Linked DNA regions of Saccharomyces cerevisiae S288C. The gene in region 1 interacts genetically with each later gene. Each region holds a gene or a part of one and is shown in the gene's direction. Other genes may lie near its edges. The genes, in order: MDM36, DPC29, MFB1 and FZO1.

Region 1 (5,283 bases):
TCAGTAATAGTGCCTCTTACTTGCCTCATAGAATTTCTTTCTCTTAACGTCACCGTTTGGTCTTTTATAGTTTCGAAATCTATGGTGATACCAAATGGTGTTCCCAATTCATCGTTACGGGCGTATTTTTTACCAATTGAAGTATTGGAATCGTCAATTTTAAAGTATATCTCTCTTTTACGTAAAGCCTGCGAGATCCTCTTAAGTATAGCGGGGAAGCCATCGTTATTCGATATTGTCGTAACAAATACTTTGATCGGCGCTATCTGTAATGGAAAAGAGAAGAAGCCTCTTGACTCACTATCCACTCGAACTTGGAAACAATGGTCGAAGATGCAGTATATGATACGACCTAAACCGAACGAGGGCTCAATGACATTAGGAATGTACTCTCGTATATGTTGCAAAGTTGTCTTCATTTTGATAGTAACCAAACTGCTATCTAGTTTTACGATCTGGCCATTTACTTGACAGGTAAATTCACCGTTCTTTTCCAGTTCTTCATGCCTCCTAATCAATTCATCCTGGGAAAATTTTGACAAAACAGATTCGATTAATTTTGCTTTCTGTTTGAACTTCGATCCGAAAAATTTCTTATTCACTTCCACAACCCACTCGGTTCTTTCTTTTGGTGTATCTAGCTTTTGCTTTACCGTCAGACTTCTTCCCGTTTTCTTGGAGTGTACAGTTAAATCAAAAGCCGCCCTGTCAGCACAACCGACACATTCAATCCAACCATACGATGTTAAAATTTCACCGTCCCAACAATCTGTGGCATAGTGTGCCATTTCATTCTTCAAATGCTGGCGAAATCTGAATTTGTCCTTGTTGATCCCAATATTCAACAAAAATTGATGAACTCTTGCCATAAAATATCCCAATGTTTCATTTTCTACCATTCCAGAATTCACTGCCTCTCCTATAGTCATTTTCACAGGCAGTTGGACTTCACCACTTTCCTGTAATCTGCGTGATAGTAGTGGAATCTCCTCATTTAACACTTCATTGAATTTTGCATGTGACTTATTCAACGGATCAACAAAGTGCTCAATTTCTGCCATTAAAAACTCTCTTACCCTTAAAAGCCCACTTCTGGGGGAAATTTCGTTTCTGAATGACTTACCAATGGAAGCTGAAGCAAACGGAATTTTCCCTTGGTTGATTTCCAATAATTTGTTGAAATTGAGAAATTGTCCTTGTGCAGTCTCTGGCCTTAGAAAGGCCTTCAATTGTCCTGAGGCTCCAATTTTAGTTTCGAACATCAAATTAAAGGAAGTTAGTGCGTCTAAAACATCGTTAGTGACTGGATCATTAATGTTATATTCCTGCATGACGAGATTCAACTCAGGACCCGAAAACCCGTCAATCGTGGTCAATATTTTCTCCATATTTTTCATATCCTGTGGATTGACATCCTTGTCCAACAGCCGTTTTTTCAACGTCTGTTCAATCAAATGGTCTGCTCTGTAGTATTCCCCAGTCTTAGGATTTCGGCACATCCAATCAGTAAATTTGTCTACATGCCCAGAAGTCTTCAACACATCGTAAGGAGTTAGCATTGGCCCATCAACCTGAAGCATGTTTTCTTCCATAATAAAATGTTCTCGCCACAGTCGAATCAAGTTATTTTGCAACTGACAACCCGGAGGCCCTAAATCAAATAAACCTGACACACCACCATATATCTCAAACGAGGGTGTGTAGAAAAACCTTCTCCTCAATGTACTTTCCAATTTATCTCTTTCCGAATTGGACATTAACGGCATGTTGATGTGATATGTCTTTCAACAGTCCAACAAAATGTTCTTTAATGTATCACATTTATCGTTTTTCACTTTCATTGTCTAAAAGAAAAAAAGGGTTGCAACTACTATCGCAGGTTCATAAATTAGACCTCATACGAACAGTTCATCAGAACTGATCAATATGCTTCGACCTTTTATATTCTGTCAAGGTTATTCATTACTTACTCACTGAATTGTTAAGACATCGTGCGCCTAGCCTACATAGTTATTATGAATTATGAAACACGCTTATGATTATAATCGTATGGAGAGACCACCAGCCCTTTGTTCTTCCTGGCACCTCTGAATATAGTTTCTAATATGTCAATCATTTCTTGTTTGTCGTCTACAATAAAGTTCAACTTGTTGTTGTTCCCTGTACCAAAATCACACATCATGTGCTTATTGTGGTAGAAAAACATTACTGTCATGGGATCCGTCAGCTCGTACATCTCATCAAAATCTGAAACTTCATCTATATCACATAAATAAATAACTGCAAAGTTCCTTACTCTTTCAGCAATCGAAGATAACAACTCGTCCATGATCATACATTGTCTATCATTTTTGCGACCAAAACGAATGACAACAAGTCGTTTAGTCTCGGTAACAATAGCCTGATCCACATGCCATCCCGTACGCAATTGAGGCAACAAAACACTAGCCATCAAAACTTGACTTCTTACTCTTTCTCTACGTACTATTTCTATCCGATGATCGAATTTGGTATGTAAGTTCTGTTTTTCCACTTTGCGAAGCGGTCATTGGCCCAAAAGAAATACAACGAGTCATCTCCTCGCAGTAAACTGTACAACAGCAAAGAAACAGTTAAAAACCCTCCAGAGAGAACACTTACTACTATAGCATGGATGAAAACGGTACAGTAAAGCCTGGCTATGAATTAAAGGGACTCAATTCGGGAAATTCGAGGTCAAATATGGATAAGGATCCCATCGTTAGCAAATTTCATAGGGCTGGTCTCAATGATTCTGCAGACGAGGAAGATACTGATATCAATGGTAATCGCAACACTAGCTGGATAACTTCAATGATTAGTGAAGAAAAACGCAAGGTGGAGGGAAAATCTATGCTGAATGATGAGGAAGATTTGCATTTATCCAAAGCTACTTTGAACAAATGCGATGCTCTAGTTAAGATATTAGCGGATATTATCAAGCTAGAGTTTGTTATTCACCAATCATGGTATATCAGATCCCTTCACAAGAGTGTCTTAATTCAATTTGAAGTAGAAACGTCTGGTGGAAATAAGAATAGCGCCGGTGATAGCGGCGACGATGATGATGATAATCATAATGGTAATCTGGACGATAGCTTTTATAAAGATTTAAGCTTAAAATGCATCAAAAAATGCGAGAAGTCTTCCCTTGCACTTGAGTCGCTGTCAAGGGACATTGACCAAATTAGAGATTTCATAATGTCCAATACAATAGAAGACAACAGGGTTGACAGGCTTTTGCAGAATTCGATGACCCTGTTATTAGAGTGTTGGATCTACTCTATGAAGAGATTGCGCCGTCTAAGGATGAAGATTGCAGGTATCTTTGTTAGGTCCAAACTTTTGCTTATTGATCATGAATTAGTGACCATATGGCATTTTTTACAGGAGCAAAACGAGCACGAAACGGTTAATAATGAGAACGAACTGAAATTGGCAGAAACAATAAAATCATACAGAGCGTTCATTAAGATATTTATTCAACAATTGGAGGACTCCGAATCGGGATCTCCATCCTCCTCTTTGTTTGAAGAATGTTTACACGTTTTTTTGGATATAGAATCGATGTACAACTCTTTAAACCTGAATTGGCTTTTGAACGAAAACAAAGCATTACAAGAAAGACTACTATCACCATCGTCGACATCGGAGAACGATCATACTAATAACCTTCCCGTTATTGATGAGACAAAGGAAATCGAAGATATCAGCTCATTTGTCAATAGCATTGTGGATGCATCCATGTTGACACATGATTTGACTCCTATTAACTCATCAGATAGCGACAATTTATCAAACGGAGAAATCGATCGTCTAGATGGAAGAAGGTTATCCTCTTCCACGTCAGATATGTCATTGATGATGCAAAGGACTTCTCTGCAGAAACAACTTCCTAGCTTATTAACTGCCTTCAACAACGCAAGAAGACTAGAACAAGAATTGCAAAACGCATGCAAAGTAAACGATAACAAACATAGCACGAAAGATACTGATTCAAATATACGACGGAATGAACATGCTATGTCTTCAAGTGTATCCTCCATCATCTCCCAAAACTCCACATTAGCATCACCGTCTCCTCCGATGTCATCGTCCTTTATATCCACGGCGCCATCACAATCAAGTTCTCGTATGAGTACATTACCACTGTCTCCTTCCTCTTCATTATTGGAATCACAATCGCAAACGCTGAAGAACAATATGTCGCAATGGTTGAACCAATCGCGATCTGGCCTCAACGGCACAAAACTTATTCCAACAAACCACATTGGGTTTCACAGCAATGTTCTGAATACTTTGTATGGTATCGGTGGTGGTCCGGTATCGAAATCTTATAAATCCAATCAACCTTCTTCACAAAATACTTGATAAGAATAAGGATATCATTGCTATGTAAACAAACTAAATGCGAGGGTTGAGTACATAAATACAAAGCAAGACTTTTATCATACATAACACATATAACAACCAATGCATGCATCCTCTCGACAATAGTTTTGTGCGTATGTCTTTGCGAAGTCCAAATACTACTCACATCCATCTTTTATTTTTTAATCCCATCGCAGCGAGTTTAAGCCTGAAAAATAGTGAACCAGTTGAAAAACACTAATAACATCGATGCAAAACTAACTATCAATAAACTGTTGTGTTTTTAGAACTCTGTACGTTGTTTCCTATCCCAAGAGTTCAATAAGACGCAGCCAAGCTTTTATTCTCTTGACTCGTCCATCATAGAGCTTTATAGAAATGTCAGAGAAGGCTTCTGAAGAGAGACCCATACGGCTGGCCGTTCTGGGGGGCACTTCTACCGGAAAGACCTCCCTGGTATCTAGGCTTACTGTTAATATCGTCCACGAGGTTCATTATCCAACAAGAAACCAAACTAACTGGCTTTTCGGCTTTGTTCCGTCATCGATCCTGGCCAGAGCTATATTAGACGAACAAGCTCACGAAAGACTTTGCCTTCGTTCCCCAAGCAGCCAAACCTTAGAGCCTATCTTCCCTTCACCTCAGGTCTCCAAAAATGTACTGCTGTCGCCATTGGTGTTTCAAGCTTCCACTGATAATTTTCAATCAGTGAGGTTACACAACAAAAGCCACTCCAGGAGATCCCTATCTTTGGATAAATCTGATTCTCCGCTGTATCAAACTTTTTCCAATGACATTAACTCTCAAAGTGTTCCTAAAATCAAGGCAGACCAGCTTAACGTTATCGAGCATTTTAAATTGCCCCTGAATTACATTCCACCCACTTATGCACCA
Region 2 (4,468 bases), on another chromosome or scaffold:
TAACTTCCCATCTAAGGATTTAGACAAGATATTGAAGCAAATATTGAAATCTGCGCCAAAGGGTCAAGATCACGTCTGGTCAGGGCTTTCCGGTGCAGATGCCAATGAATTAGCGTTCAAGGCTGCCTTTATTTATTACCGTGCCAAACAAAGGGGCTATGATGCCGATTTTTCTGAAAAGGAAAACTTGTCTGTCATGGACAATGACGCCCCTGGCGCCCCTCATCTTGCCGTACTATCGTTCAAGAGAGCGTTCCACGGTAGATTGTTTGCCTCCGGTTCCACAACTTGTTCTAAACCAATTCACAAGTTGGATTTCCCAGCCTTCCACTGGCCTCATGCTGAGTATCCATCTTACCAATACCCATTAGATGAAAATTCTGATGCAAACCGTAAAGAGGATGACCATTGCTTGGCCATTGTTGAAGAATTAATCAAAACCTGGTCTATTCCAGTTGCTGCCTTAATCATCGAACCAATTCAATCTGAGGGAGGTGATAACCACGCTTCTAAGTATTTCTTACAAAAGCTAAGAGACATTACCTTGAAGTATAACGTTGTCTACATCATAGATGAAGTGCAAACAGGTGTCGGAGCCACCGGTAAGCTATGGTGTCATGAGTACGCCGATATTCAACCACCTGTGGATTTAGTGACCTTTTCCAAGAAATTCCAAAGTGCAGGATATTTCTTCCACGACCCTAAATTCATTCCAAACAAACCATACAGACAATTCAACACATGGTGTGGTGAACCTGCAAGAATGATCATTGCAGGTGCCATTGGACAGGAAATCTCCGACAAGAAGTTGACTGAACAATGTTCAAGAGTAGGTGATTATTTGTTCAAGAAATTGGAGGGTTTGCAGAAGAAATACCCTGAAAACTTTCAAAACTTGAGAGGTAAAGGAAGAGGCACATTCATTGCCTGGGATTTGCCTACTGGTGAGAAGAGAGACTTACTATTGAAGAAATTGAAGTTGAATGGTTGCAACGTTGGTGGATGTGCAGTCCATGCAGTGAGATTAAGACCTTCATTAACATTCGAGGAGAAGCATGCTGATATCTTTATTGAAGCATTAGCCAAATCAGTTAATGAATTATGATTGTATATTAGCGAGGCCGTGTCACGTTCCCTTTTTTGGTCTTTATATATGTGTATCTTGTTATAATTTTAAAGAAAAGTTTTATATTACTCATCAGTTGTGTGTGAAAAATATGGGCGGGTATTCACAATAGGAAAAAAAAAATGGGTTTGGTGACTGCAGTAAAGACGTGCTAAAAAAAAAAAAGTTGTTTTTATCTGAACCTTAAATATATCATTTATGAGTGTATATATTATACAAACGCAATAACAGTGGCTCCCGCCCTCCACCTCCGCCTGCTACTAGTAATCTACCAGTAATTGTGTTTGTTTTGGGAAAGATCGTTCGCTTACTCACCGAACAACTTTCTGACTCTCTTCAATACAGAGTCCTTTTCAGGGTCGTAGGGATGATCTTTAGATGGAATTTCTAAAATAGCAGGGAACGCATTGGTGAAGGAGTCCACTCTAGCTCTTATGTTTTCCGCGATATGTTGGTTGATTAGAAGGATGGCAATATCGTCTCTCTCTTCAGTAAAGTGATTAAACTTGTCAGTGATTTCCTCCTTAGTAGTCTTACCTTCTTGGTAAACAAAAAAGTTCTTTTCTTGGGTTTCAGGAGTGATTTGTCCAATCCCGGCTAACAATAAACCAGTTGTAGTATCTTCGTCAGCTATCACAGCTATAAGAGTACGTTTCTCAGCCATGATTTAGTTACTATGCGTCAGTGAGACTAGCTATGAATATAGAAATGTAGTGCTCTATTTTCTTAATTCTTTGTCAACTCGATATAATAAATGTAGTGCTTGCAATTCACGTTGGTTTTCCTGTTATCGTTCGCCTTTATTTTTTTTTTTTCTTTCGTTTTCCTACTTCCCTTTACCGGCGTAAGCGCAGTGAAATTTTTTTAGTACGCACGTACGCAAGTTTCAGCAGCAATAAGGGGAAAGATGATGATAATAACTAAGAAAAACAGCAAACTTGGTATGAACGCATCAAAAATTGGAAAATGTTGGTAAGAAATAGGTATCTGGGTGAACTGCTCAAAAACTCTCGATCGTTTAGTGTGCTGAATTCCTCGGTACGTTCAGGTCACAACAAATGGTCAACCATCAAGCACGGTAAAGCCAAGAATGATGCGGAACGAAACAAAATTAATAACAAGTTTGCAAACCAGATAGCAATGTCAGTCAAGTTAGGCAACGGTATTACGGATCCGAGCATGAATATAAGATTAGCCACCAGCATCGAGCTAGCAAATAAAAACAATGTCAGCAAAAAAGTTATTGAGAACGCCATCCGGAAAGCTTCTGGAAGCAGCGCATCGGGCAAGGACTCAAACGCTTCTGAGCTATGTGTATACGAGGGAATGGGGCCCGGCGGGGTCGCTATAGTGGTGGAAGCGCTGACAGACAACAAGAACAGGACCATAGGTCTGATAAGGAGTGCATTTAATAAAGCTAATGGATCGATGACTCCAACGTTGTTTTTCTTCGACAAAAAAGGATACGTTACAATGGTACCTCCGAAGATGTTAGACACTGAGGACAAGGTGCTAGAAAGCGTACTGGAGATTCAAGGCATCGAAGACATTGCGCCTGTGCAGGAAGACGCAGAAGATTTAGAGTGTGATACCGAAACTGAAACTACAGGCCAAACTTACGAGGCGGTGATGGAACCTGCCGATACCAATAAGGTGGCCGCCCTACTGAAGGAGCGTGGTTTCCACATCAGAGACTTGGGCATCGGCTACAATGCCAAGCCGGATATGGAAGTTTTCGTGCAAGGCGATGAAACGCTCGAGAAACTACAGAAACTGACCACAGCGCTCGAGGACATCGACGAAGTGACGTCGTTGTACACTAACGCTAGCAACGCTTAATCCAACCAAACCGTAAATAAATAATCAATACCACAAATACCTGTATATACTAAACAAACAGTAGTAATAACTGTAATAAAGAGTAAAAACAACAACAAAGACAATCGTACGTAAAAACACCAAGCGGACACCAGCACTTGCCTGCTGCGGACTGTTGTCTGCGGACTGGCGGGGGTCGAGCAAGAACCGACGAAGTAACCGACGGAAGGCGGGCGGAGACGGAGACGCAGCCGAGATCTATTTTTACTCAGCGGTAATATTAGATCATGGCTAGGGGGATCTGGAAGTACAATGATGTGCTCTCCCCCTCTCAAACACAACACCAGGATGAACTAAGGGCTCATCTCGAAAGTCGAAGGTGCCTCATTCAGGTTATTAGTGGTGCCTGTTGTGTCTTCCATGAACAAGGAGCACTTAATTACTTGTTGTTGCATGAGATATCATTTTTTTTTTTCCCTCTTTCTTGGGGTCTTGACAGTCATCAAATCGAAGTTTTTAGTTTTTCTTCTTCGGGAAGATCAATTTTAGGTAGAAAAGTGTAGATGAAAAACGAAGGATACTGCTATTTACTGTAAGTACTCTTCGGTCCATATTGGAAGACCAAGGCATAATAAGGATATATTCCGAGGAGATAATTGGGATATAATCCTCCATTGCTTCCGAAATTTGTTTAAACACTTCTAGTTCATTTCGGGTTGGTTCGATCTTCGTTTCCACTTTTAACTTACTCCCAGTTAGTATAATATAAGTAGTTAAGGTATGGCAAGCTGCAATCCGACCAGGAAGAAGAGCTCTGCTTCAAGCCTATCTATGTGGAGAACGATTCTCATGGCGTTAACAACACTACCGCTAAGTGTTCTTTCGCAGGAGTTGGTTCCAGCTAATAGCACAACATCGAGCACAGCTCCTTCCATCACTTCGCTTTCCGCAGTTGAGTCATTTACGTCCAGTACCGATGCAACGAGCAGCGCAAGTTTATCAACGCCGAGTATAGCTTCAGTATCCTTTACTTCCTTCCCACAAAGTTCTTCACTGCTTACTCTTTCGTCAACATTATCCTCAGAACTTTCCTCTTCGTCCATGCAAGTTTCGTCGTCTTCAACATCGTCGTCTTCTTCGGAGGTTACGTCATCATCGTCATCATCATCAATATCTCCTTCCTCTTCATCATCAACAATAATATCATCGTCATCATCACTGCCGACATTCACTGTGGCATCAACATCTTCGACAGTTGCCTCCTCCACACTTTCCACTAGCTCATCGTTGGTTATCTCTACGTCTTCGTCAACGTTTACGTTTAGTTCGGAAAGTTCAAGCTCTTTGATTTCCTCTTCAATTTCAACATCCGTTTCGACTTCTTCAGTGTACGTTCCCTCCTCTTCAACTTCATCTCCACCTTCGTCCTCATCCGAATTGACATCATCCTCGTACTCATCATCCTCATCCTCATCCACCCTCTTTTCCTACTCCTCCTCATTTTCATCATCCTCATCCTCATCA
Region 3 (5,285 bases), on another chromosome or scaffold:
TCTACCACCATCTGTCTTGTTACTTATGGTGTGTTGGTAGCCCGTTTCACTATCATTGTGACAATACCACTCCAATGGTTGGATGTCATTAATAAGAGTATAGTTCTTACTCTTACTTACCGGTTTTTTGTAATCTACCTCTTTAATAGGCGCAAACTTTATCTTATCACTGCTCGATTCAAGCATCACTAAATGAGTCTCTATGTATGTACGATGTATCTTATACGCCCTCACTGTCAAGAAAAGACAATACGAAGTACGGCGGCAATTGTCACTCAAGAAATTTCTTCATTTTTATATGACTATACATCGTAAACTCAAGCCCAGAGAAGTGAGTCTCCAGTAAACACTGTTCGTTATATCCATCACATTTAAAATCCGTAGGCTTAAGATTGCCAAAACATATGCATACAAATTCCAGTAGTAAACATGATTTTGGAATTCACTGTAATAATCTGTGAGACATCTTGGAAACCGGAAGAACAAAGATGAGAAAAAAAAAAAAAAAAAAATAAAAGCCGCATAAACATCGGCTAGACGGAAAAATTAGCATTACGTCTATGACTTAGTTCTCCGAAAAAAATACAAGCCGTGTGGGGTGATTACGCCGTACCCTTCTTTTCGCGTTATTCCAACAGGTCGTACAGAACTATCAGTATTTGGAACGATATACTTATTTATCGTCTTTTCGCGTTTTGGCCGAGGGAAATATTGCTTTTGTTGCGGAAAAGAGTATCACGGCACAGCATCGGCCTTCCTAGTTGTTTACTTACTAAAAAAGCCTAACTACTCATTTTCCAGTCATTCACTTAAATTGAACTTAGGGGGCTCGTATTCGAAAGTCTTGTTGCAGCCTAGAGGACCAACGACATCGAAGATGTAGTTGCACTTAGTCGCTTCATGTACACTCCGAATCTTGAATTTGTCGCTGCACCGAACAAATACAGTAGCCGATCTGCGCGGACCATTCCAGCACTGGTCTCCATTTTCGTATTCTAGTACCAGACCATTATTCAGTTCGTTTAAGTTCCCGAATACGTAATGTTGCATGTTACCGTCATCGTCCTGTATAGCTGCTAAGTTTGAAATCAAATCACTCTTCTCATCATATGTGGCCTTTAAATGTTCTGCGTATTTTTCCATGTTTAAGTCAACATTAAAACCTGATGTCTTAAAACGACCGATCAAAACTTTTTTACCGTCAACCTTATCCTCAGCTTGATATATGACACCTTCGGTCATTGGACGTTGAAAGCATATAGTGTACACATAGTTGTCCAGTATGTCGTCAAGACAATAGGATTGTGATCCCATTAGTTCTAAAAGCTCAGTCAGATTTCCTGCAGTAGAATTAGTTCCTTCATCTTCAGTTTCATCTAATAATTTCTTATAGTCCATTTTTTGCTTTAATTCATTCTCCAGGAGACTGACTTGACTTTCACAAGAGCGGAATCTCTTCTCTAATGAGACCAAATCTTTTCTAGATGAAAAAATATTCAGCTTAGATAGAATCTCTTTGAGTTTATTGCGCAAATCTCCAGAAGTACCGATATGATCGCTGTTCGTATCTTGTTCTGACTCAACAGCGTCTGGTGGCAATACCTTTGGTGCATTCTCGTTCACAAATGATGTTACTTCGCTCAACGATCTCAAAAGGCTCTCTGACGGGTGAGCTGGTTCTAATTCAGCCAGTTCGCCGTATTCACCTAGGTAGTTTTTATACGAATCGACAGCACTTTTGACCCCTGCATCTTGAAAGTTAACATTGTAATTCTGAGAAATATCATCCATAATCAAACGGAATTCTCTGATATACTCCAAGATATCGTTGGTATAGTTAATTTTACCCTCCACTAGCGCTTGAACAAAATTGGATTTTCCTATGACGTACCTCAACGTGTTCTCAGATTCTCTTTTCAAAAAAATTTGAGGTACTTCTTCTGTAAAGTACAAGTAAAGATTATCTGCCTGCTCATCATCAATTTTGCTATCTGCATTAATTTTAGCCTTTTCAGCCCGTCTTCTAACTTTTCTGAATTTTTTAATATTATCATTGACAACTTTATCATTTAGCGAGGGAGTATAGGCCTCTGATAAATCACTTAAAATCTTGAATATGTCCTGGTAACCTTTACTTACTCTTGAAACCATAGTGAACGATGTAAGGATGTCCGATCCCAAACGAGTACTGTTTAATTGTTCAAATTGATACAAAATGGGATCATGGCTTAATTGGTTAAAGTACTCGCCTCTCAACTGCTCTAATTTGGCTCGATTTTCTGAGAGCCTGTTGGAGAGTACTTTTATCTCGGCAGAAGCTTTTTCCTTATCTTCTTCTAAGCAATTACCACGGGTGATAGCCTCTTCCTTTGTACCGTATTTTCTTTCCAGTTCTTCTAGGGCCTCTTTACCTTCCCGGTAACTTGATAACTCTTTAGAGGCCATAATGTCAAATTCGTTTTTTAACTGAGAACAATTAGATCCAGCATCAAAGAGCTCATATCCAGAAAGTAGCTCGTCAGAACAGTCACAGCAGTCACAAATACCATCTGCGACTTCCGATTTTCGTATATATCTTGGAATAAACCCCTTGTTATCACAATAAAAATACTTATTCACTTTACCACCTCCCTCTGCAACGCTTTTGAATATATCTTCCACGCAGGCGGCGCTGCCGGGCTCATCTGAACCATCAGGACAATCACAAACCCCATCATTAATCTGGCTTATATCCAATACGATATCTTCGTGGTTCAAACAGTGCCATTTAGTCAAATCTGGTTCATTCGAGTCATACAAGTGCTGCTTTTCCCAGGGAACACCCACTATATGCCGTTGACTTTGTTGCAATGACGCTACAAGCGGCGATTGCTCAATTAATAGCAGAAATAATGAGAACATGCTCACCATAGCGAATCTTCTTAATGAAATAGCAGAAGTGCCTTTATGCTTCTTAAATGCAGTGCGGAAGCCTCTGCTTCTACCATAACATCTTCCAACACAGTCTTCATACACTATTATTATTCATTTTATGGCCGGGTAAGTATTTTAAAAGGCATTGGCAATACCCGTTTTGTTTTGACCCAAACAACTGTTTATCATTATTCCTGGTGCTGTCTTCTTAGAAACTATAAACGCTTGTGCACCTACCCAGTATTTAACCAGTTGGGAGGAGATAACAATATTTACTTACTTTTTCACAAAATAGGAAAAGGAAAGTTATACTTTGCTATAGTTTAAACAAAGGGAAAGTTTTCAAATAACCAAGGAGTCTCTGTTACTACTTGCTAAATATCCTCATACAAAATATCAAAACAAATTGGCCAAACTGCACAAGGAAAGTTCACTTTTGTTCCAGAATTAGTTATAGTTCCTTCAACCACATAGATGACATTATTTTCTTGTAGTGTACAGATGCCGCTGGAGGAAAGGTCCCTGACAAACTTACCATTAAACCTATTGTTCCGAATATTGTCTCACCTGGATATGAATGATTTACAAAACATAGGGAAAACTTGCACCTTGCTAAGGATGCTGGCGAATGAGAACATTGTTTACAGAAATGCTGTTATCGGCTCAAACGGGAATATGTGGTGGACAAAAAATGTTCTTGTTGATGTCTTTGATGTTTTGAATTTTAATAGAAAGGCAATGAAAACCTTAAATAGTCACAACATATCCCTGGTCGCATCATTAAGAAATGTTCAGCGGAAATATAAACTAGGCGTTATTGATCCGGCTAGAAAGACAATAAGTTATAGAACAAATGAAGTTGAGAGCAAAGAAAAGGGCTCTGTGAAAGATTTAAATATGGATTTGAACGAACCTACAGAAATAACAAGGGAGCAAATCGCTCATACTGCAATACTACAAGGAATGAATCAATTCATCGAACTCAATGATAAAGCATTTAGGACCCATTCAGCGGATTCTGATGATACATACATAGAGGAGAATAATGGAGAAATACATTCTCTCCACGGATTGGAAAAAAATACAACATTTGAAGAAGACTTAGTCAAAAAGCCACCTTTTATCCCTTCTCCGACATTTTCTAATTATTCTAGAAGTTCAACAAATTCTGTATTTTCAAGTTCATCGCCCAAACTACTGGACGATGATTGGAATAATATTACAATGGATTTCACTAAGTCACGAGATCCTGATTATAAAGAGATGACGCCTACATCTACTGAATCGTCTGACTCAATCACAAGATTGAGAAAATCTAATAAAGTCAAGGATAAAGCCGAACTTTTTGAGAAGTTAATTTTTAGAGATAGCAGACCATTAAAAACAAAGAAAAAGGACAATCCAAGATTGAAATTATCCAGTTCGTTAAGTGCTAATGACGAAGATTTTAGGAAAATCATAAGTCCCCCTTCTGACATACTACCGAAAGTTGGCAGAAGGAGCGTCTCAAGAGGTTATTTAGAGGAGATTGAAAGGCATTATCCCGATTTTAACGGTGAAACAACTAATCCTCTAGCAATTAAAAGAGTCAACAGTACAAAGATAGCAAATTATGAACAATTAATTATAAAAGAAAATAGCTCGAACTGTAAAGGAATAACAGAGAAAAATGATGAAAATAAATTTCAAAGAAGTCACACTTCCCCAGTAATAGAATTATCCAAACCTCATCAAAGAAGCAAATTAAAGGCGGTTGTTACAGACGGTAATAAGATATGCTATCGCAAAATCGAATTGGATAACCCTAGTGGGTCGAATACGAATGATCATGTAATCAAACGGCTTGACGCTAATACCGATTTTAATATATAACAGAAAACGCCTCAAACCGACTTTGCTTGGAAGAGTTTTCTCTGAATTAGCAACGGAACTTCGAAATGGTTTTAGACAAGCATGCATGGTATGTAGAAACAGTTAAAGAGCGCCGCTACCATTTGCACAGATGTACATATAAATAAATGACTTATTTTTTATATTCTATCAATAATAAGACAATTTGTGGTTGCCTTTAGAAATTTCGTGGCTTTTTTTCATATATTCTAACTTCAATAAAGTTTTTTTGATGCGAAATTTGATCGCTCATATTAAGGACGCCTGAAAAAGACATGCGTCTACATTTTGTGTCATTCCCATAAGAATAGTAAGAACAGGCATTTTTATAAATCGATACAAAAAAAGAGCTACTATACGTACATAAAGTCAGTAAATAATCAAATGTTCCCAATGAAAGATCACTCAGCTCTTGAACAACATACTCTCAGCAGAGATGAGTTAAGACGTCGCAAGGGTTACAAGAAAGGACTGCAGTTGTC
Region 4 (6,169 bases), on another chromosome or scaffold:
GCTCAAAGAGAAGCTGCTGCCGAATACGCTCAATTGTTGGCTAAGAGATTGTCTGAAAGAAAGGCTGAAAAGGCCGAAATCAGAAAGAGAAGAGCTTCTTCTTTGAAGGCTTAAGTATGTCTTGGACCTGCATAATTTTTATACTTTTTCCTTTTAGATATATGTACTTTTGGCTTAATTTAATATAATTAACTATAACTTCGATTTTATTCTTTGAAGGTCCAAATGCACGTAATTCATAAACTTATGATGCATTGTTCTATTTCTTGAAGTCCTTGGGATGAGTGATGAGAAAATTTTCTTGAAAGTTAAATAATATAATAAAATTCTAAAAGTTAAATTTTATAGCTAAACATAAACTATTTCTTAAAATTCTTTGGCAGTATATTTTCTTTGAAAAATGAGAAGATATAATATACCAATCAATGAAATTGAACTGCAGAGACCGAGCCCTGTAAAACACCATCCAATTCCCATTGCGTTACAGAGCTGTAAAATGATAGCGGAACTAATGGCAGCGCCCACATTTCGAAAGAAACTACTAACAGCAACAGTTCCAGCAGCTCTTTTGGGGAATAACTCAGTTAAATATGTCATTGATGTGTTGCTGCACCAGGTCATACCAAAGGCAGTGAGAGCGGAAAAAACTAAAAGAACCACAAAATGATAATGAAAGAAGATTGCCCATCCGTATCCTATTGTGCCACATATTGTTAGTAAAATTCCAATTAGGTTCAGTAATAAACGAAACTCTGCCGGGAATTTCTTTTTAGGATGACTTTTGATCCAGCGTGAACGAAGATAATCTGAGAGGTGCCCACCAGATTGAGATCCTAGTAACATAGCTACACCTGGGCAGACATAAGCAGCACCAATTTCTAACATAGTAAAACGGTAGTCATGTTCAAGGTAATACGAAAACGTGACGCTGAACGCATAGTAACTGGAGAACAGGAGTGCAGTACTGACGGACGTGATTATTATTGGAGGACATTTAATCATTTTCCAATATAGTGTCAAACCTGCTTTAGGCGGCTTTGGAAAATTTTCTTGGAAGAAAGCATCATTATTGACTGGTTTACGGATACCAATGTCTGGGAACAGACGCCGATGTGATATTTTATTACCTTCGAAGAATGGAGATTCGTTATTTTCACGTTCATCTTTTTTGTCACCCCATTTAGGGTCTCCATTACCAACTATACAACGTAGCGTTTCTGGAAGTAAAGCAGTAACCAAGATCAATGCTATTCCTGTCATGATAGAAGTGAAACCAAAAAGCCATCTCCAGTAATTTCCTTTCATTAAAATAAGCCCAGCAACAATGGGTGCTATAATAGGACCCATGTTTGGACCCATCATGAAATACGCTATGGCCTTTCCCCTGTGTTTTGGAGGAACAACGTCTGTTACAGTGCCAGCTCCCAGAGAAATCACAGAGCTGGAAGCGAAAGCTTGGAAAATTCTTAAAACAAAAAGGGCAGCAATATTGACTGGTACAGCGGCCAAAAGTATATTAACAATTAACATTAGTGATAACGACACCATATATAAGAATTTCCTTCCACCAAAATCCGCCAGTGCGCCCCAAAACAATGGACCAACGGAAAAAACAGCCATAAATACAGAAACTGTAGCGTTTATTGTTGTTGCACTTACATCATATTCCCTTTGCAGCAATGGTAAAGCCGGTATATATATGTTTCCAGACATTGGGCCCAAAAATCCTATAAAAATGATAATTCCAAAAATGATTAGTCTTTGATCCTTGGAAAAATAAGTATATGGAATATGTGCTTGAGTATCAGGAGAAGGGTCTCTTGACTGGGAGTTCGATGACTTTACAGCAACTTCCTCTTCTTTTGTTTTTGCTTTCTGTGCTGACAATGATGGGGAAGAGTCAGGGTGCTCATGAAAGACATCATGATCTATATTGGCTCTCTTTTGGTTCACCTGATCCCAGCTTTCATTAATTACATCATCTCCTAGATCTTCTAGCGAATGAAATGTTGAGCGGGTTGTTCCACTTTCTTGCGAATTAATTTGCAGACCCAAATTCTTTTTCTGAAACGGTTCGCTTCCCATTGCCTTAATTCTTTTCCCAGCTCTTGAAACTCTTTTTTGAAAAATTACCAACAACAACTTTTCTTACTACCATCCTTCTAGCCTTATCAATATTCTCATATATCTTAAAATTGCAATTGTTGTTACAAAGGAGTTTGTGTCGTTTTTCACCAGGTGACAGAATGTCTGGGTTGAAAGTATCAATGAAAAAAAAAAATGTAGAGAGATGCCAAAACAGTGGCCAACAGGCAGCTTTGGCTACGGAAATGATTTGGAAACCTGCATAAGTATTTCTCCGCGAAATTGGGAAGAGTGATATGGATAGTTGTGATCCACGGTATATAATTCCTTGTGATCCCTTATCTGGCAAGATAGCTATAGTATTACTAATACGTGGCGCTAGTATAATAACTCGCGCAAAGACCGAACGGAGATTAATATTTAAAAGTTGGTGCGCAGTCCGGGTAAATACAGCTTTTCATGCTGAAGAATATGGCCGGGCTAATATTAATTAAGACGGACGATGCATTATTGAAACAGGATAACGCAGGTTACAGTAGCCCTTAATAAATAAAGCAAAGTACATCCGAACATAGCAACATTATCTGATATCACGGATAGAGGCAAAACGGTAGGCTCATTTAACGATGTCTGAAGGAAAACAACAATTCAAAGACAGCAATAAACCGCACAAGGACTCCACAGATCAGGACGATGATGCCGCCACAATAGTACCACAAACTCTTACTTACTCACGCAACGAAGGTCATTTTTTAGGCAGTAATTTCCATGGAGTAACTGATGACCGTACCACTTTGTTTGATGGTGAAGAGGGGCGTAGGGAGGATGATTTGTTGCCCTCATTGCGTTCCTCCAACTCAAAAGCACACTTAATTTCTTCACAACTTAGCCAGTGGAATTATAACAACAATAGAGTACTTTTAAAAAGATCTATATTAAAGACACAAGCTTTTATGGATCAACTTCAAGAAGAAAATAATATTCGCCCGATTTTTATTGCTGCAAATGATGAACGGGAAAAATTACATGTTCTACAACTGAATATCAAGCTAGATGGTCAGTACAATACCAAAGAAAAGAACGGTTTCAACATTGAGAAAAAAGCTTTATCAAAATTATTTCACTCTCAGATCGTATCAGTGACAAATCATTTAAACGCTTTGAAAAAAAGAGTGGATGACGTTTCATCTAAAGTATTCATCACAGGTGATGTAAATACTGGTAAATCAGCTCTTTGCAACTCTCTATTAAAGCAGCGTTTGCTACCTGAGGATCAGCTACCATGTACCAATGTATTTTCCGAAATACTAGAGGCTCGGGAAAATGACGGCATAGAGGAGGTTCATGCCATACCACTAAACATTGCTCCGACTCTCAAGGAAGCCATTGATATGTATTCAATACAAAATCCCAAGACTTATGAAATACACACTTTGAAAGAACTTCCCGATTTGGTTCCCCAAAACGGAAAATATGCTTTACTGAAGATTTACATAAAGGACGATAAAAGGCCTGCCTCTACTAGTCTATTAAGGAATGGTACTGTTGATATTTCATTAATTGACTCCCCTGGGTTGAACATGGACTCGTTACAAACCGCCGAAGTAATGTCCCGACAAGAAGAAATCGACTTAGTTATATTTGTTGTCAATGCAGAGAACCAGCTAACACTATCTGCCAAGGAGTTTATTTCTTTAGCATCTCGTGAGAAAAAATTAATGTTTTTTGTTGTGAAAAAATTTGACAAAATCAGGGACAAACAACGTTGTAAGGAGTTGATCCTAAAGCAAATCCGTGACCTGTCCCCAGAAACATATAAACGTGCAGCTGATTTTGTCCACTTTGTTTCCAAAAACGGAGATGAATTGCCACATTATCATAATGAAAATGACAATGAAGATCATGGTGACCGAAAACCTGACGACGACCCATATTCTAGCAGCGATCCCGATCCGGATTTTGACAGTCTGGAAGATTCTCTACGCAATTTTGTTTTGAAGAAAAGATCACTTTCTAAATTGTTACCTGCCAAGACTTATCTATCGAAATTATTAAGCGATATAATAATGATCTCCAAATCTAATATGAAAATGTATAGTGAAGAAGAAATAAAAATTAACGAACAACTGGAAACATTGAGACCTGAAATTTTGAGCGCTAGAGCAAAGTGCAATGATTTAACAACTTCCGTTGATCAAATGGCCGAGCAAACAATTACAATGACTTATAACAATACTAAAGAAGCACTTCTCAATGCGTTGGATGTTCCGCTACACGAATATCCGAAATATCAGGGCCTCGGTCAAATTTATGACTTCATATTTTCAACAGAAGCGTTCATAGCAAATCAGATTGATGAGTCAATAGGATCAAGTGAATTATTTGCCAAGCAAAAGACAGATTTACTGGTAAAAAAAATTTATGAGATTGGAAAAAATGAACTTGGTGATGATTTCATGTGTGAACGTGTTTTCAGAAGCGAACTAATGTTTAGAAAAAGGAAGCATTTGATAGGAAAAAGGCTTAAAGTATCTTTGTCAATAACTGATTTGTTTGCTCCAACTTGGAAAGGCTTTTTGTCTTACTTAAGCTGGCAGAAACCTGTCACAGCACCACTGCCGGATATAGAAGGACAAACTAACGAGGGTCAGATTGGCCTAATGAAGTATTTGGGTTTGAAAAATTATCCTTTGACACAATATTGGTCAAGACCATCATTGCTCTTCACATCAAAAATTCCCACTCTAACGCTGTACTTTCTAGGAAGTACAAAGGTTGTGGGGAACATTATATTAAACGGCATTAAATTATCGTCGTGGAGCTCACTCAAGAAGTTATCAGTTCCGGTTATAGTGGTAGGTTCCTTGTTGGGACTTACGTATTTAATTCATGACCTCCCCCGTGCCTTACCAATGAATCTTTCCATTAAATACAAAAGAAAGTTGCAAGAACTGGATTACATTCATCTTAACGCTCAAAGAACCTCAAATGAAGTACGTGATGTTTTGCGTGTACCTACACGTGAAATTCTAAGGTCGTGTGAAATAATTATGGATAAAAAACAAATCACTAAGAAAGAATTGGAAAACAAAAAAGAAAGTAACTTGTTGTCAATCAAATTCTTCCAATCTCTATACGAAGGAACCGTGGCTCAAAAATTGATGGTGGAAGAAATAAATTTAGACATCGATTAGATATTCTTGTAAATATATGAGGTCTTTTCAAATCAATATACATAATGTTACTTATTATTTTATTCCAAGCAGGTCCATTTTTTTTTTCACTTTGCACGAAATTACATAAACATTAAAAGGACCCTTGTGTATCTGCTTAATGATTTGCAAAACCTGCGGAAACGGAACGAAAAATGAGCAATCTCGTTCCGGTTCCGAGATCCTTTTTTTTTTTTAAATCTTGCGCATGTGCAGATTTTAAAAGGCGTCAGATATCGGATGTCCCTGGAAGTAATAGCTCCTCGAGTATTTCCTCCGTTTATTATTAATATGAGCAGTTTTTTAAGTTCTATTATTACATTGATAGTAGTTGCGTAAAAAACAAAGCTCATAAAAGTTTCCGATATGTCAGAAGTTTCCAAATGGCCAGCAATCAACCCATTCCATTGGGGATACAATGGTACAGTTTCGCATATTGTCGGTGAAAATGGTTCCATTAAACTCCATTTAAAAGACAACAAGGAGCAAGTTGATTTTGACGAGTTCGCTAACAAATATGTCCCAACGTTGAAGAATGGTGCCCAATTCAAATTGAGTCCTTACTTGTTCACAGGTATTTTGCAAACTTTGTACTTAGGTGCTGCTGATTTCTCTAAGAAATTTCCTGTATTCTACGGCAGGGAAATTGTCAAATTCTCGGATGGTGGAGTTTGCACCGCTGACTGGCTCATAGATTCATGGAAAAAGGATTATGAATTCGATCAAAGTACTACGAGCTTTGATAAAAAAAAATTTGATAAAGACGAGAAGGCGACACATCCAGAAGGATGGCCTCGTTTACAACCACGTACAAGGTACCTGAAAGATAATGAGTTGGAAGAACTACGGGAGGTTGATCTACCCCTAGTAGT

Evidence for each region.
Region 2: mutations in MDM36 (region 1) and DPC29 together harm fitness more than expected from each alone (negative genetic interaction), as found in Saccharomyces cerevisiae (2 studies listed by BioGRID).
Region 3: mutations in MDM36 (region 1) and MFB1 together harm fitness more than expected from each alone (negative genetic interaction), as found in Saccharomyces cerevisiae (2 studies listed by BioGRID).
Region 4: of MDM36 (region 1) and FZO1, changing one suppresses a phenotype caused by changing the other (phenotypic suppression), as found in Saccharomyces cerevisiae (one study listed by BioGRID).

What each region holds. Positions count from the first base shown.
Region 1 is NC_001148.4:702,205-707,487, forward strand, and holds MDM36 (Mdm36p), read left to right. Parts: upstream 1-2,649; coding exon 2,650-4,389; downstream 4,390-5,283. Other genes in the region: GRS2 (putative glycine--tRNA ligase), read right to left, coding at 1-1,766; U4/U6-U5 snRNP complex subunit DIB1, read right to left, coding at 2,021-2,452; YPR084W (uncharacterized protein), read left to right, coding at 4,768-5,283. UniProt on the Saccharomyces cerevisiae protein: Involved in mitochondrial distribution and morphology.
Region 2 is NC_001139.9:525,540-530,007, forward strand, and holds DPC29 (post-initiation translation factor DPC29), read left to right. Parts: upstream 1-2,092; coding exon 2,093-2,965; downstream 2,966-4,468. Other genes in the region: UGA1 (4-aminobutyrate transaminase), read left to right, coding at 1-1,105; VMA7 (H(+)-transporting V1 sector ATPase subunit F), read right to left, coding at 1,434-1,790; MTL1 (Mtl1p), read left to right, coding at 3,725-4,468.
Region 3 is NC_001136.10:904,955-910,239, reverse strand, and holds MFB1 (Mfb1p), read left to right. Parts: upstream 1-3,387; coding exon 3,388-4,785; downstream 4,786-5,285. Other genes in the region: YDR222W (uncharacterized protein), read right to left, coding at 1-186; GTB1 (Gtb1p), read right to left, coding at 802-2,910; septin SPR28, read left to right, coding at 5,188-5,285.
Region 4 is NC_001134.8:585,657-591,825, reverse strand, and holds FZO1 (mitofusin), read left to right. Parts: upstream 1-2,711; coding exon 2,712-5,279; downstream 5,280-6,169. Other genes in the region: 40S ribosomal protein eS6 RPS6B, read left to right, coding at 1-114; DTR1 (Dtr1p), read right to left, coding at 367-2,085; EHT1 (medium-chain fatty acid ethyl ester synthase/esterase), read left to right, coding at 5,664-6,169. UniProt on the Saccharomyces cerevisiae protein: Essential transmembrane GTPase, which mediates mitochondrial fusion.